3 linked regions of the Drosophila melanogaster genome follow. The protein of the gene in region 3 purifies or fractionates together with the protein of the main gene of each other region. This does not show direct contact. Each region holds a gene or a part of one and is shown on either strand. Other genes may lie near its edges.

Evidence for each region.
Region 1: the proteins of Arpc1 (region 3) and Arpc4 purify together in Drosophila melanogaster (affinity purification with mass spectrometry, with the first as the bait; one large-scale study listed by BioGRID). This does not show direct contact.
Region 2: the proteins of Arpc1 (region 3) and CG8578 purify together in Drosophila melanogaster (affinity purification with mass spectrometry, with the first as the bait; one large-scale study listed by BioGRID). This does not show direct contact.

The regions. Positions count from the first base shown.
Region 1 is NT_033779.5:6,122,616-6,127,172, reverse strand, and holds Arpc4 (Actin-related protein 2/3 complex, subunit 4), read right to left. Parts: upstream 2,042-4,557; 5' UTR 1,925-2,041; coding exon 1,418-1,924; intron 1,350-1,417; 3' UTR 1,262-1,349; downstream 1-1,261. Other genes in the region: WDR79 (WD repeat domain 79), read left to right, coding at 1-271, 330-518, 578-1,241; stai (stathmin), read right to left, coding at 4,109-4,195, 4,320-4,475.
Region 2 is NC_004354.4:15,842,585-15,849,766, forward strand, and holds CG8578 (uncharacterized protein), read left to right. Parts: upstream 1-1,891; 5' UTR 1,892-1,947; intron 1,948-2,052; exon of another isoform or gene 2,053-2,088; intron 2,089-2,742; 5' UTR 2,743-2,797; coding exon 2,798-2,884; intron 2,885-3,057; coding exon 3,058-3,342; intron 3,343-3,399; coding exon 3,400-3,763; intron 3,764-3,824; coding exon 3,825-3,983; intron 3,984-4,372; coding exon 4,373-4,557; intron 4,558-4,618; coding exon 4,619-4,729; 3' UTR 4,730-5,274; downstream 5,275-7,182. Other genes in the region: ArgRS (Arginyl-tRNA synthetase), read right to left, coding at 1-407, 471-800, 859-1,205, 1,269-1,397, 1,456-1,497; sun (stunted), read right to left, coding at 5,395-5,420, 6,302-6,432, 6,552-6,580.
Region 3 is NT_033779.5:13,827,441-13,832,745, reverse strand, and holds Arpc1 (Actin-related protein 2/3 complex, subunit 1), read left to right. Parts: upstream 1-3,004; 5' UTR 3,005-3,036; exon of another isoform or gene 3,037-3,102; 5' UTR 3,103-3,327; coding exon 3,328-3,400; intron 3,401-3,469; coding exon 3,470-4,530; 3' UTR 4,531-4,805; downstream 4,806-5,305. Other genes in the region: GatC (Glutamyl-tRNA amidotransferase, subunit C), read left to right, coding at 1-121; PolG2 (DNA polymerase gamma subunit 2), read left to right, coding at 118-808, 863-1,257; Orc5 (origin recognition complex subunit 5), read right to left, coding at 1,274-1,558, 1,612-2,709; PolG1 (DNA polymerase gamma subunit 1), read left to right, coding at 5,055-5,305.

The sequences.
Region 1 (4,557 bases), 7.7 Mb from region 3:
TGGGCCGACGCTGCTGGACCTCGTCCACGGAGGCTCAGCACTACACCAAAGGCTGCTACTGGTCCCCGGACGGCACGTGCCTTCTGGTGCCCGTTCACCTAGACGGCATGCACGTTATAGAGATGCCCAGTGACCTCTACTCCGCAGATACGGTGCAGCCGGCACGCTCTCTGACCAAGCTCCAGTCGGAGGTGCACGTGCCCGAGGGCGGAACCGTCTACGACTGCGTCTGGTATCCGCACATGAACAGCCTGCAACCAGAAACCTGCTTGTGAGTTGACAACTCTCTGACGCTCTCCCCAATCTTATACCGTTCCCATTTCACGCAGGTGGCTGGCCACGCGGCAGCACGAACCCATACACATGTGGGATGCCTTCGACGGTTCCCTGCGATGCAGCTACAGTGGGTACGATGCCGTAGACGAAGTAATGGCGGCCATTTCCTTGGCCTTCTCCCATGACGGCGAGCAGATCTATGCGGGATACAAGCGCTGCATCAAGATCTTCGACACCAGCAGGTGAGTCGGCTGCTTATTTTCGTACGCTCATTTAATGCAACTCAAACTCTACTCCGTAGACCCGGACGTTTTTGCGACGATTACCCTGTCAAGTTTGCCATATCCTGCATTGCACAGACCACTGCGCACCCGCACACTCTAACCTGCGGCAACTGGCATGGCTACATCCAGCACTTTGACTTGCGGTGTAGCCACAAGCAGGGTCCTCTCTTCACGCTGGGAGGGCACAAGGGCGGCATCACACAACTGCGCTATGGAGAGTTTGGCAACGGGGAGTGGCATCTGTTCAGTGGAGCTCGCAAGTGCGATAAGATCTTGCAGTGGGACATGCGCAACTACAAGCAGCCACTGGTGGAGTTGCAGCGCCATGTGGACACCAATCAGCGTATTCAATTCGACCTCGCATCCGACAGCAATTGGCTGGCTAGCGGTGACACACGGGGATTCGTCAATGTTTGGGATCTCAAAAAATACGGAGATCCTTCCGTACTGCCCCTGCATTCAGACTGCTGCAACGGAGTGGCACTCAATCCGGCTATGCCGATTCTAGCCACCAGCTCGGGGCAGTTCCACTTTACAGACCAAAGTGCCCAAGGGGACAACGTGACCTTAAACGGAACGGAAACGACGGAGTTGCCGGCGCCGGCCGATGTGAATCAAAATCAGAAGGAAGTTCTCTACGAGAACGCAGTGGTCATGTGGTGGTGCGGCCAAACGGGATAGCATATAAAACTGGTGTAGTCGAGTAAATAATACAAAATCCGTCTTTATTCTTGAATCCATTTGGAAATACTAAAGCATCATGACCGGGTCCATACTGGTTGCCTTCACCTGCAAAGGATTTGCGAGAGTAAGTTGGCGTCGACTCAATGGCGATGGCTGTTAGGTGGAACACTTACCTAGAACCGTTTGAGGAACTCCTCGGCGCAGGTGCGTGCCCTGGCATTGACCGCCAGTTTCATTTCGCTGATCTCCTTGTCGATCTCCTCCATGAAGCTAATGACAAAGTCCACCAGTTTGTGCTTATACATCTGCTCCGTGTGGAAGTTGGTGATGAGGAAGCTTATGTCGTAGCCCTCGATGGGCTTGCGGCGCAGTATGACGAACGACTCGGCGCGTCGCATCATGAACCTGGTGAACTTGTGGCACAGTATGCGCTCAATCTCGTCGGCCTGCTTCACGGCGATGCTCACGCGCACCGAGTTAATGGACGGCTCGATCAGCACCTTCTCCCGCTCGTTGCGCGACACGACGACGGGCGTGAGCACCAGCTCCTTGCTGGAACAGATCTCCACCTCCGGCTTGTTGTGCCGCTCCACCACCTGCGAGGGGAAGTCCTGCAGGCACATCGCCGCCGTCAGCGAGTGTCGCACGGCGGTCAGGTAGGGCTTCAATGTGGCTGCCATTGTGTCTGGGTGTCGGGTTGTTGTCTGCTGCCTGCGGTTTGTTGTATCTGCACTTTTTACTTAACTTATTATGATTCACAGGCCCTGGAATTTATCAACCAGAAAAGATGTGACCATGCGCGGCTGGCAGGAAAATACCAATGCCGAGGTGGGGCCGCAAAAACATAGCAACTATTTGGAATTTGTTATGAAACAGTTTCTATTATATGTTTGGGAAGACTATGCATAAAGTTTATACAATCAATATTAAACATGTTGTTTTTAAACATTTATCAAATCGCACTTAAAACATTTCTTATGATGTCCTGTGTTAAGATGGTAAGAAACTTGACTATCAAGAACTTACCCGAGACCACAACCACTGTTCCATTTCCATTTGTATCTTATCTTTGTGGAATTTTTAGGAGTGAAACAATTTAAATCATACCTAAATTTTAAAAATTTAAGAAAAATGTATATGGCTAGAAGCGTTAAAATTTGAAATGGAAATATCAAATATATGTGTACCATATTAAAGTCCGAAAACCCAACACACCAGCAAAGAGGAAAAATGTTAATTTAGAAGAAAACAGCATCCACCAATTATAAATATTGCATTTATTTGTTTAATGCACTTTTATTATACAATTGTTATAAGTATTTTTGCTCGCATATGGTCAGTTATTTGTGGCTTATATGAACTTAAATTATGCGTGAACCTAGAAAGTGAGTATTTTAATCAATCGTTCAAAATTGTAACCCTTTCCTACTCTCAATACTCAAAAAATGTTTCGGCTGATTATTGCATTGGATTAGACATTAATATATCATAAATTGAGTAAATATCAAAGCATTTTATGCTTTGCGTTTATATTTTGTTCGTTTTTTCTTGAGTATGCTTGAAAGTTTTCGTGTCTGGGTAATTTGGTGTCCTGTGCGTGTTAAATTGTTTTGCCAATGCACATTTTTATTAAGAGATTTATGTTATTGATATTCATTTGTAGAAGCCATAGGTTTACACGAGTACACATACATATATAACGATATAAGATTTAAATTTAAGCTAATCTTTAAAGCGCCCTTTGGTGCAAAATTAAAAATAACTCGCAGGTTTTTGGAAAAAATTTTCCTAAATATTCCATTTGGTTTGCCCTAAATACTTTTTTTTTTTTTTATTATAACCCCCACATTCACTCTCCTCTTAAACCCATTTCTAAAAATAACCCGACGTTAGACAAAATATGCATTTCCATATAATATTACACACATTAATGTATGCTTATACGTAGTTTCCTTCCATTTATATTAATGTCTATATCAGCGTTTTTAGTGTTTGTGTTGTATGTAAATAAAGGAAAAATGCGTTTCGTGTGTTTTACATGGTATTTGATTTTATTGAATTGTATAAGCATTTCTTATGTATTTTTTCTGTTAGACATTTATTTTATAGATAGAAAATGCGAAACTTATAAGAACAAATTATTTGTTAGTGTAAAACTATATTCAGCATGTATATGTATCATGTTGTTGCAAGTTAGTAAATTAAAATTACCACTAAAGTATACATTAACTTAATTAAAAACATTTTCAAATTTTTACTCGCGAAAGCCATTCATAGATGCAAATACAGCGTGCTTATTATTTTGAGAATACCTCAGTCGATGCCACAGTAATTAAAAAAAAAAAAAAACTTGAACATTCAAGACTAAGACTTTGAAAATAATGAATCCAAAACGAATATAACATTCTTGGAACTCAAGGTAAAAAGTGTTTTAAACTTTCAACTGAAATCAACGTGAACTTTTAAAAGAATTTGAAATTTTAAATGACAGGCATGCATTCAACTTGCATAGGCTTTTCTGCCTGGGCTTTTAAGTTTAAATGTAGATTTCCTTTACTAATTTTTTTTTTGCATTAACTTGCCGTAAGCATTCATTTCTTTTCGCTTTATAGTAGCTTATTCGTGTTTCATTATAGAGCTCGTGAGAAAACTCGCTCAGCGGTATCTTGAGACTTTGCCCTTGCCCTTCGCTTCGTTTGCTTTCATAATACTTGGAAATTTTGAGAAATCGTTTTCAGTTTTAAGGGTTTTCTTGCTTAAATATGTGTTGGTGTATTATGCAGTGTTGCTGTTCTTTTTGTAGTCGCCTTGTAACCATGTTTGCAGTGGGTGAGCACAGCTCTCGATGCAGGATCGTTCTCCACTTAGCCTGAGGAGGCAATGGCGCTCTGCTGACCATCCAAATCCTGGGCCTGGGCCTTGTTCTGGCGCACGAGCTCAGCGCGACGTTCCTGAAAGAAAGGAAAGCAATCAAGGATTAATATTCGTTTGCGAATGGAGATGTGCAACTACTGCCAAGTGCTACTCAAACAATAGGGCAAATTGTCGCTTTCAGTGGGGGGGAACAACACGTACGAGTTTTTGAACTTTTTCAATTTTTTTTTGCAATTCCTTTTCGCGTTTCTGCTCGGCGGCGAACAATTTGTTCTCATAAATGCGCGCTTTCTCCTCGATCTTTTGACATTCCAATTGATCGTTCTGCGATTTGATTTCGGCAATTTTGATTGTGTTCTAAATGAGAGGATATAAGAGAAATGAAAAACCAAAATTATATGAACGCATGATAACTTATTTATAGTTCGTACACTCAATG
Region 2 (7,182 bases), on a different chromosome or scaffold from region 3:
TTTGGCCGGAGTCGACCACATAGATGATCCAATCGCAAAGCTCCTCCTCCAAGCGATGGCGAATGGCTGCCATGTCAGAGGTATCATAGGTAAAGCCGCCATCCGATTTCACGATTGTCAGAGGTATGCCAGTTTTCGTATCGTCTGGCCACATGATCTCGCGTCCTTCATCCACTTCCAGCAGACCCTTGCCTCGCAAGTATTCCACAACGGACAGCATACGTGATTGGTAGAACGATTCCCCCCGTTCCTTGACGCTAATATCTAATCGTTCGTAGATCGTTTGGAACTCCTTTCGCGACACATTGCAAATTAGCTCCCACGCCTTAATGGAGTTCGGCACACCTTTCTGCAATGAAACCACTCGACTGTAGGCACGTTTTTTGAACTCCTCATCTTCATCGAATCTGCAAGGAAGTATTATTTACCTCGAGCACATCGTAATTACTTCGTAATGTTACAAGTCTTACCGCTTCTTGGATTCCTTGTAGAACAATTGCAGATCACTGATCGGAGGGCTTTCATTTAGGTAGTTGGGGAAACGATCTTCCAAATGGGCAATCAGCATGCCAAACTGTGTTCCCCAGTCACCCAGGTGGTTGATGCGGATCACATCGTGCTGCAGGAACTCCAGCAAGCGGCATAACGACTCGCCAATGATCGTGGACCGCAAGTGACCGACATGCATCTGTTTGGCAATGTTGGGCGATGAAAAGTCGACCAGGACTCGCTTTTTGATCACTTCTGGCGGCTTGACACCGTTACGCAATAGATTGCTTAAGGCTAAAGATGCATAATCTCTGCAAAAATTAACATTTTTAATGTTTATAATGGACTTTGTGTACTTATGCCACTCACTTGCTAAGGAACACGTTTACGAAGCCAGCTCCGGCAATTTCCAGCTTTTCAATGATTGGTGATGCTGGGCAGTGTCCTTTCAACTCGGTTGCAATATCACGTGGTGCTTTATTAATGCCCTTCTCTTTCAGCTTCTTGGACAATCCCATGGCATTGTTGCACTGATAGTCGCCGAATTTCGCAGACGTACTATTAACTGGTGCAATTATAACAGGCGTATCTCTGAATTCCGGGAAAGCTGATGCAATCGCCTGGCGAAAGACGCTTTCCAGGTGTTCGGTGATCGAAGAGGATTCCTTGGGCTTCGAAACGTCGCCGCCGGCGGCAGTTGATTCCTCAGCAATGGACTAACAGGGAAATAAAAGACATGAAATTCTTAAGCTTAAACACATTGGGGGTCATAAACTCACCTTCTTTAGGATAAACAGGCGGTTCTTCAGCTTCTTATTTTCAATTTGAAGCTGAACAAGATCGACGTCCAACTGTTCACCGCTTTTGGCAGTTTGTATTCTGGCGGCAAGGCCTTGGGTCTTCAGTTCCTTTAAAGCCGGCATGTCATGTCAAAATGTTGGCGTAAAGTAACAGCTATTCGCTTACCAGCTCCCTGAGTTTTTTCAGCTCCATATTTAGCTCGGACATGTTTCCAAATTGTGACTTCTGTTGCTCCGCTGATTAATAACAACAACACAACGATGCCACATGGATGGCAAGTAGTGTGCACACGTCGCCTATCGATAACGATAACAGCTGGTGATGTCACGCCTCACAGTCACTTCTAGGATGTCGTTTTTCCCACTGGCATTTAAAAGATTTTCTCATTTGACAGTTAAACTATGCAACAGACAAATTGTATTGTGTGTGCATTTTAAAATCACCTCTAAAATTGTAGATGTCGGTATGTATGGCAGGCTTTTTATGGCACATTTGAGAGCATTGCTTAGATAAATGTCAGCTGTGTGCGGTGGAAAAATCGCATCGGGTTCACATAGCACTTATGATTTTTATCGATAGATCGACTTATCGACCACCTCTATTATGATTAATTGTGATTGTTCTTTCGCTTAAGGTGTCTCTTAAAACTTTTTATGTGTATGTGTGTTTAATTAATTTATAGATTTTGTCACCTTTGTGTAAATACCTATAGTCTAGTGGGGCCGCAACCTAAACTCTTTGATGTGTGCTACACACAGTCCCCGAAAGATACGTGCGTGAAAACTTGGGAAAACAGATGTGTGTAACGCCGCTCCCATTAAAATTAAAACTGCAATGCAGACGGTTTTTTTTTGTTTTACAAATATAAATAGTGGATAAAAACATATTCACCGGGAACGACGGACGGATACATCCTATTTATAAACAGGAGATAAACTAGTTTTCTTGCATCTGTGCCACCAAATTGCCAAGTGTCGATGGGGAATTTGTAAAAGTTAAAAAAGAAAAAACCATTATGCAGCGCAATGCAAAAAAAAAGTTTACTTTATTTTCATCATCTGATACGCATTTTATCTGCATGTTCGCTTGCTTGGTGACAATGGGACTATATATTCACCGGTTTTTATATAAGTGAGTCAGCTCTGCTAGATAACAAAGTGCGTTCCGATGATAAGGTATCCATTATCATACCACACACGATCATCAATTAGGACATTCCAAAATGTTTACCAATATAGGAGGTTTCAACGAGCTGGACACCGAAAGAGCAGCACCAGAAATGCTGTCTCTGCAATTATTATATTTATTTATAAGTTAGTGGCTGAATTCAATGGACTTTTCTTTGGAATTATCGCAATATGATCCTTGTTATCACTTTCAATGGGTTCAAATCGAAACTGAATTCTTAGTGCATTCTTATAGACTTGAAACTAACAAGTTGCTTCTTTTTAGCGTGCGATCGCTTGCGATTAATATATAAAATATAGTTAAATTGAGCACAGATTCAATGGAAAGTATCAGCACCACAGGTCGGCGACGGAACAACATGCGAATCAATGCCGAAGACAATGCGCTGGATCAAATTACGAAAGAGGTGTGTATTTTACATCCCAAAACATAGCATTCAATGTAAATATTAAAATTGTTACTATCAACTGCGATTTGTACGTGCTCGGTTAACACAAGAGAATTACAGCCGCAAAGGGTCGCATAATTGAAACTCTATCAATTAGTTGATTTAAATGAAACTGATTCCCTTCTTTTCAGGCGGAAGCGCGACTTGCTGCGCGTCGACAGGCGCGCGCCGAAGCCCGCGAGATTCGCATGAGGGAGCTGGAGCGGCAGCAGAAAGAGCAGGAGATCACCGCCGACCGGGTCTTCGACATGCAAAACTCCACGGCAGTGGGCAGCGAAACTCTGTCGGCGCATCCCGTGCGCCTCGCCTACGGCGGACTGTTAAACGTGACCCGTGCATCAGCATCCCGCCGCAGCAGTGAGGACTCCGTGGAGGAGGAGGGCAGAAGTTTTCGCGACTTCAAGCACGAGCTTAAGGTGGGTGCTGACATCGCAGCCATCACTTCGATGTGATTTAAGTGGTTCTGCTTTCAGGATGTTGAGGAGCGGTTTCGCAAAGCCATGATAACGAACGCCCAGTTGGACAACGATCGCGCCTCGCAGGCCTACGAAGTCAAGCTACTGAAGGACAAATGCGAAATAATGGAAGAGTCGTATGCACAACTACAGCGCGAGTTCAAGGAGAAGATGCGTGACTGCAATGCCCTCAAACGCAACCTGGATCGCGCCAATCTCGAGCTTAAGCTAGTACAAGGGCAGTTAAACGAGCGCGACTCGTTGATCGCCGAACAGGGCCTTCTAATTGTAGCAGTTGAAAATGCCGATGGCAGCGATGCCAAGCGAGCTCTAGTGAGTGTCGAGAATGCCAAGGTGCTGGCCTCCGTGCAGGGTTCTTTAGGTGATTATCCCCCATTTGCACCTGGATGAGATCATTTAACAACAGTTCGAGTTCTTTGCAGACGTTAGACTTAAAAAGTTCAGTGACGAGAAGCAGCGGCTGCTGGCGGAGGTGCAGAAGCTTCACGAACAACTTGACGAGTATAAAAGTGATGGAATTTCCGGACGCCGCAGTCTTTCGCAAGGTTCCTTCGGCGATGAGAATGATTACGAGGCCCAACGTACGTGTACCATACTTACTTAATGCCAACTAAACTTTCAGCATGTAAAGTGCACCGCAGTGATTATCTTTTTTATAACTAGCAGCCCTTTTTGGCAGCACACAATAACTAACCGAGTCTTGCTCAAATTTGAACGATATTCAAATCGTATTATTTGTAGTTTTTATTATTTGATAACATGGCTTCAAGCAATATATATATATATATATATCATTTATATTTCCGATCGCATTGATCGGCCACATTCTCTCGCACTTTTGTGTATCTCCATATATCTTCAGTTTTTTAAAACAATAAATTGTATATAACTATTGCAGTTTGGCACTATAGGACTGCAACATATTTGTACTATATTACGAGCCCTTCCTTTTTCTTATACTATCCGACAGGGGAAACAAACAAAATCATTTCAGACCATAAATATAAGCTGCAAAAGGCGGAACAGGAAATCGCCAACCTACAGTCGAGCCTAGCGCGCTCCGAAACTCAAGTAATCCGATACAAAAGCACCGCAGAAGCTGCCGAAAAGGCGGAGGCTGAGCTGAAGCTGGAGCGCCGCAAGCTGCAACGCGAGGTGAGTGGTGGGAATGCCAAGCGAAATGAGCAGTTTATGATCTAGCTAATCCATTTCGCAGCACCGGGAACTCTTGGAGAAGTTGGAGGAAGCTGAAACGTCCAACAACCATTTGTTGAAACGCCTCGATAAGTTGAAAAACGCAAAGAGTGCCATTCTAAAGGACTTATGATCTAAGATGGGAAATGCAATCTCGCCAACCATTGAAGGATCGCACCCGATGACATAGGAAACGCAAGTACACGACATCATCAACACACAAATCAACATGCTGCAATTGAAATAGCACTTCGGTAGCAATTTAATCGGTCTTAGTGGTAGCAAATCGATAATTTTTGAAGGATAATCCAAAATACTCTACCTTAAAAATATATATATATATATATTTAAATTAAAATATAAACTAACTGGATAATAATTAACATAAATAATGTCTATATGTGTATATTTAAAGCGCAAAATATAAGTAACAATTCAATTGGTTCAGCATTATGTGTATAAAATCATTCTATACAAATATGCGTTGACAAAATTATAGCAAGAAACCTATCACTGATCCCAATTAAAAGGCTTCTGGTGAACCTGACCAATAGTTCTTTTCAAAATTACAATATTCTATTGAGTCTATATTTAAATCTTTGCTAGAAGTCCGTTTCATCGGTCGCGATCTCTAAACGGAACGCCCAAATAAATGCCACATTTAAGAACAATTAAAATCATCGTGTTTAAATAAATTACATTTATTTAATTTTATTTATTTTTCATGATTTTACAACATTGCAGCTTCGGCGGATCTTAGTTGTTGCGAATCATTCTCGAGTGGCCACTGAAAAGCATCTAGGATTCCGATTGGGTTTGACGCTCTGCGGACAGAAAAATGGCAATAATCAGCATTTGCTTTGGATAATAGTTTTTCATCACAAAGAAATAGTTAATAGTTGGTCGCTTGTAAACTTTTGGGGCGGGCAATTTTGGGATATATATATGTATATTAATATAAACATTATATTATATGTAAACACATCGCATTTGCATGCAGATCAGCTTGTAAGCGTAGTTAGAAACTTTGGGAACAAAGTTAGATACATAAACTGTCGTTGAGTTTAATGCGAACGCTGGGATAATTTGGGTTTTGTCTGCCGCGGCAGGCACTTACGCCAGTTTTTAAATTATTAATTTGACGATGGAACACCTAAGCCCTTTCATCTGAAAAATATATTCAAATATGACGCAATATGAAACATAAATTCTATTACTTTATGGAGCGTTTGTCTTGAAGGAATGGTAAGCAATTTTGCCTAATTTTGTTTCGATATTCCAATAAGTTACGAAAATTTTGAAATTAAAGTTTTAGAAATGGTTTGGATGAGTATGAACGCTTCAATGTTGATGATCAGGATTTAAACAGATTGCAAATATATATGATATATGCAATAATATACGAATATCTATAGATGGGAACAGTTTTTACACGCGATATTACGCCTGTAAATTGGCAACATTTTCGGAGTAAAGTGGGAACACGAGTGAACCGTTCATTTTTCGGTATTTTTCACATTGCCATTTCGAAACGGGGCTTTTTTCCGAAACTTTTGGGTAGAATACCGTGTGGAAACCACTTGTGGATGACTTCGAAACATTCCTAATAACACATTGATAACGGTTTCCCCTTGGATTTCGAATTATCCGGAGTTAATTTATATAATGGCTGCTATTTGGCCGTCTAAAGTATTATGATACGTACGAGCTGGCTTGCCATTTGCCCAGGGAGTGAACTTCACATGGCTCGCGTCGCGCTTGGCGGCATCCGCACGCAGTCCCGTCTTCAAGGACTCGCGCAAAATGCGAGCGGCGATGTTGGAGTATTGGATGTAGCTGCAATCGGTAATATTTGGATTAATTATGTTATGTAATCGGGCAGCAAAGGCGTTTTTATTTGCATGAGAATGCTGCCACAACACAGCTGGTGTGGCAGGCACTTATACAATGCTTACGTAATTCCGGCAGCTCTCCAGGCAGTCATTGTGATCGGTTTATTCGAAATATATTCACGCTACACAAAAAATATATAAGATATTCCCTTTCTGAATCCGGTCAGTGTGGCCAACTAGTTTTTGAGAGTTAAGTCAGAAATATACCGTCGATTGTCGCACATATACCTTAAATACTAGCTTACGCGCGTCAAGATAGCGACGACGACTGTGACTTCTGTTATTGAACATACACACTGTTAGTAACATTTGTTATCGATATCCAAACTCAAACTTTTCAATATTTAAAAATCTAATTTACTTATTTTTCTTCCTTTGGGAAAAACCCTAATAAATATGGATATGCCAAACTGTTTTATTCGAAAGAACGAAGCTTGTTACTTATTCATGCCTACACAAATAATTAAGCAGACATTGTTTAACGTGCCTTGCATAAAGCATTTCAAGAAAAATTGTTACATTAAACCATCAACTTAAAAAAAATATTCCCCAATTTTCCTTGAAATTTGTTTTTAGTTCTAGGCTAATTAATCAAATAACCACCAATGCACCCAAAATAGGATAAGCTAAGGATATATTAGATTATTTATTTATCATTGACTTTAAGTTAGACTTTACAGATAATATTTTAAAA
Region 3 (5,305 bases):
CCAGTTACGCAACGACCAGGTGACCGAAGGCGATTGCCGGGCGGAGGTGCTCCGGAACGCCAAGGTGACGGACGAGGACTACTTCGTTTCGCCGCCGGGCAACATTCCGCTGGAGCAATGAGTCGCATACAACGATGCTTTAAGTCCCTGGCTTCCGCTGGCTTCTTTCGCACCGTGGAAGACAATAAACTGGAGCTACTGAGTCATGGAAGGGAATACGCCAAACTGTTGCAACAGCATTGGACACGACTACGTCCCTTGGCTGCGCACCTGGGCGCCACGAAAGAACCCATAAATCCAGTCAACATCCAGCGTTTTTCCTTTCCACAAAGCCAGCAATTCCGTAACAATTTCCAAAAACTCGTCAAAGATCATCCTCGAAAGGCCAAATGTCCCACTCTTCTGAAACATCAAAGCACTTGTTCTGGTCCCACTAGCAATTCCCTATTTGGGATAAAGGGTCCTACGCTACATTTAACCACGGACTTCCTAGTGGAACCACATCGCGCACTGGAGCACTTCTACAACATGCAGCGTGAGAGCAAGATCTGGTGGATGCGTCTTTCCTCGAATCCCAGTCGCTACCGCATCGTACCTTGCGATTTGGCTGAGGATCTCAATCCCAACGACTATCAAGCCATCGATATCCGCACGAGCTACGGTGATGCAGGAGAAGTGACCGTGGAGCAACTGAGCCTGGTGAGAATAGTGGACGACAAAGACTTCCGGCTGCCCGATGCGCGAACGGGTGAAATTGTGCAACCGACTGTCATAAGGTCTGTGATAGAGCTGGAAACTACCACCTGCGGTAAGTGGTCATCATAACTATCTTTGAAAATCTTTCTATATTATTATCCTTTAGCTCTGCTTCTGGATGGCTGTGATCATGGCCGGGACTCGCAATCCCTGCTCTTACACCGCGTTCTGGCGCCATATCAATGTGGAATTGCCTGTGTGGAAAGTGATTCCGAGCTATCTGCTGACTTGTCTGATCTTTGTCAGCATCTGAAACATGTTCTCAACCACGCCGGTCTTAGACTTTCTGAAGGGGATGGAATTCGTACGACGAAGAACGCTTCTCATTTAGCAGAGCACTTGCTGGAAACGGATATGCTCGGCATACCTTATACACTTGTTATAAACGAGCAAACGCTAAGAAACGGACTGATGCAGTTGCGCAGCCGGGACACAAGGCTGGCGGAGACCATACACATAAGCGATGTACCGGACTATTTATTAAATATATTTAAAAACTAAAAAAAACAACCAGGGGCTACATAAAGTCGCAGAGATATTGGCGGACATTAAAGCCCACCACCTTGCCAATCTGCAGGACAAACTCCAAGCCAATGGTGCACTGCAGCCTAGCGGAACCTTCCATTATGTTTTGTTCGCCGGAGACGAAGCTTAGTAGATTGAGGTGCACCAAAGTTGAGATCTGGGAGAGAAGGTTGCAGGTCAGACCGACTTTCTCCTCTAGAATGGCGTAGAAAATGGCCAGCAAACGATCGATGCTAAAGGATTTGGGTCCCAAAGTGGTGGACATTTTCTCCGTGGTCTAAAAGGTATTAAAATAAGCAAATGGAGTCATCGAAAAATTGAATAACCCACCTTGGCTCTGGCGTTGACCGTCTGCATCCGCTTTCGCTGTTTTCCATGGTGCTTGACGAACAATCGCTTGTCCTGCTTGGCGGCATTGTGGCTGGCTAAGAAGGCAGCGATCAACAGAAATTTGGCATAGTAGGGCAGCTCCAGCGACTGCGCCAGCTTGCGAACGCTCTGATCTTCTATGGCGGTGAAATCTTCAACTTCTTCCGCGGGTTTTTCAATTCGCATATAAATCTGGGTTAAGGCGGAACGCAGTGGTCCAGCTATATGCCGCCAAAGCCGGGAGATGTCCGTGGCATCCACAGTGCCGTCGAGTACAGGCTCCAAGTATGTGGACAGACACTTCCTGGCGGTCAGCTGGAGCTCTGGAACATCGCGACAGGCTTTGTAAAAGACGCTCAGAAAGAGATTCAGATAGTTGTTGTAGAAGTCTTCAGTTACGGCTTCCTGGCAAATCTCCAGACGCTTCTTATCCTGGGCGAACTGTTCCAGCAGTTGATTTCGCACCTGCTGAAAGTCAGATCCCAGGATGCGCTGTGTCTCCGCCTTGTTGTACTGCGCCAAGTGCAGGCAGACGATTTCACTAAGTCCGGTCTTGTTGTAGAACTTCTCAAAGGGCAGCTGGGAGAGCAGAATAACGCACAGATTCAGGTTGGTCAGCTCCTGCAGTCGGAGAAGAACGGGCAACACATTGGCATCCATGTCGCGCAGCCTTTCCGCGTTATCCACGGCTATGAGAAATCCCTGATCCTCCACGCGTGTAGCGGCCTGCCGACGCAGCTGCTCCACAAAGTCCAGCATGTTGTCGACCTTCAGCGCATCACCTTGATCGGGTGCCAGCGAGTCTAACAGGATCTCCAGCATTATCTTGGTGGTGTAGCATTCGATGGCATTTAAATGCGCTGTGCGGACATTTTGCCGTTTTCCACATTCTTTGAGGAAAGCTCTGGTCAGAGCTGTTTTGCCGGTTCCACTGTGTCCGAATAGGTAAATTGCCGAGGGATATGTCTCACTCGAATCTCCTATCAGCTCGCCCAGCGTTTCAATGGCCGCCTCCCGACAGGGAAACAGCGGCTCCAAGGAGGAGCAGATGGCTTCCATAGCTGTCGTCTGCTTTTAAGTTTCCTCAGCTACCCACAGGCGAAGTGGTGTTATTTAAACGGGCTTTCAAAAGGGAAAATACTTCCTCGGTTTATAAAATAACAAAAATAAATTACGAGCCAGCCAGTTATTAAAAATTTGTTTACAAGAAATGGTTTCTGTTTAGTGTGACCATTGAAATGGCGCCAAATTATTCCCTCTGGTATATACCGAACGTGCGTAACAGCACTGGTACCTTAGCATTTTTCAAACAATCGAAAAATATCGATATAACGAAATAACGATAGTATTGAGGGCCATCGATTTTTGTTCCAGCTCTAATTTCGGGTGATTAATTTTGTGCATTACTTTTCCAAAGAGTTTTTTCCACAACGCTCTACTCTTCCGGCCCAGGCAAAGCCAGAATCCATCCCAGCAACGCCAGCTTAATCGTGTTGACGGCCCAGAGTCCGCGATTAAAACGAGAGCGAAGCTAAAATCCAGCGGAAACAACGCCCAATTGCTACACAGCGATATCCAAAATCCGAAAATCCGGCGAACCGAACCGAAGAAACTACGCGTGTGGTTGGATTTGGACGAGCGAACACTGCACATTCCGAGCGCATTTAGCCACCCACGATGGCCGAGACATACACCTTTGGCACCTCGCTGGCCTCCATCACCTGCCACGCATGGAACAAGGATCGAACCCGTAAGTGCGACCCAAATTACTCATCCGGCACAGTGTGACTCACCACCACCCACTCCCAAAAATTCGCAGAGATTGCCTTATCGCCCAACAACCATGAGATCCACATATACAGCCGGGAGGGCAGCGACTGGAAGCTGGCGGACGTGCTCAACCAGCACGATCTGCGCGTCATGGGCATCGACTGGGCCAAGAACACCAATCGGATTGTGAGCTGTGCCGCCGACCGTAATGCCTATGTGTGGACGCAGGGCGACGATGGCAAGTGGAAGCCGGCGTTGGTGCTGCTGCGCATCAATCGGGCGGCAACCTGCGTCAAGTGGTCGCCGGCGGAGAACAAGTTCGCTGTGGGTTCGGGCGCCCGACTCATATCCGTGTGCTATTTCGAGTCGGAGAACGACTGGTGGGTGTCGAAGCACATCAAGAAGCCGATCCGCTCTACGGTCACTTCGCTGGACTGGCATCCGAACAACGTTCTGCTGCTGGCCGGCTCCACGGACTACAAGGTGCGCGTTTTCTCGGCCTTCATCAAGGACATCGAGGAGCCACCGACGCCGACGCCGTGGGGCAATCGCAAGCCCCTTGGCCAGCTAATGGCCGAGTTCCGCAACTCGCAGACCTCGGGTGGCGGCTGGATTAACAGCGTGAGCTTCTCCAGCGACGGTAACAAGGTCTGCTGGGTGGGCCACGACAGCTGCGTGAGCATCGCGGACGCTACCAATGGCAATACGGTCATTCGATGCCGCACCGGCTATCTGCCCTTCCTGTCATGCGAATGGGTCTCGCCCACGTCCGTCGTGGTGGCCGGCTATAGCTGTGTGCCACTGCTCTACAGTCTGACTGCCGATGGAAAGCTGGTGCTGAGCGGCAAGCTCGATAAGTCGCAGAAGAAGGAGTCGAGCGGCATTACCGCCATGAGAATCTTTCAGTCGATGGACCGCAACATGCGCACGGAGAACACGGACACGGTGGTCGATTCCATACATCAGAACGCCATCACCAGCGTGCGACTGTATGCCGGCGACAAGGCGAGCGCCACCAAGGTGTCCACCTCGGGCGTCGACGGGCAGCTGGTCATTTGGAATGTGGAGCAGGGCGGCATCAATGGCGGCATGCGCAACCTGCAGATCTAGTGCGGCCCGGAACGGACCAGCGTTACGTGTTATTGTCTGTTAGCGAGTGTGTTGGCCTGGCCAGGAGCGAAGTATTTGCCAAAATGTTTTCCAAAATCGCTTTTCCCATTGTTCTGTACCGTGCGAAAGCCTTTTTACATAAATTAACCGAAGAGATTGTTCTTTCCCCCCCCCCCCCCCCACCAACTTCCATAATGGTTCCGAAAGTGTGTGTGTGTTTTAAAGTGTTTCACCTTTATAGCAAACTGAATAAAATGTTTTTTATTCGTAAAATCAAATGTTAAGTGTTTGTTTTTTAATAATTAATCGTTTCAAGCAGCAAGAAATTTGATTTGTTGGAATTTTTTGAAAATGTTTTATATTTATTTATTATTAATTTAACGGAAATAAATTTGAATTAAATCAATGTGACCGCCGCGCAAGCGCACAAAAATACCTAGGCTGGCGGCAATCTTACGGAGGAGTGTGTGGTCGCAGGTTGGACTTCAGTTGCCTTAAAGGATGTTTCCTTTATTAAAACGAGGATGCAGTTCCACCTGATCAGAAAGTACGCCAGCAAAGTTAGCCGGGAGCACTACGCCAGCAGTAGCGTGAAGATCTTTCGGCGGGTCAAGCCTCCGCAAAAGGTAAACAAACCAAAGAAGCCGGAGAATGTGGAGAATGGCCCAACGGAATATGCGGAAAATCTGGTCAAGGTGCAGATGATCTCGCGGAATTTGCACGCCCAACTGTTCCCACAAGCGCCGCGAAGCATTTCGGAGCAGCAGGTGGCCTC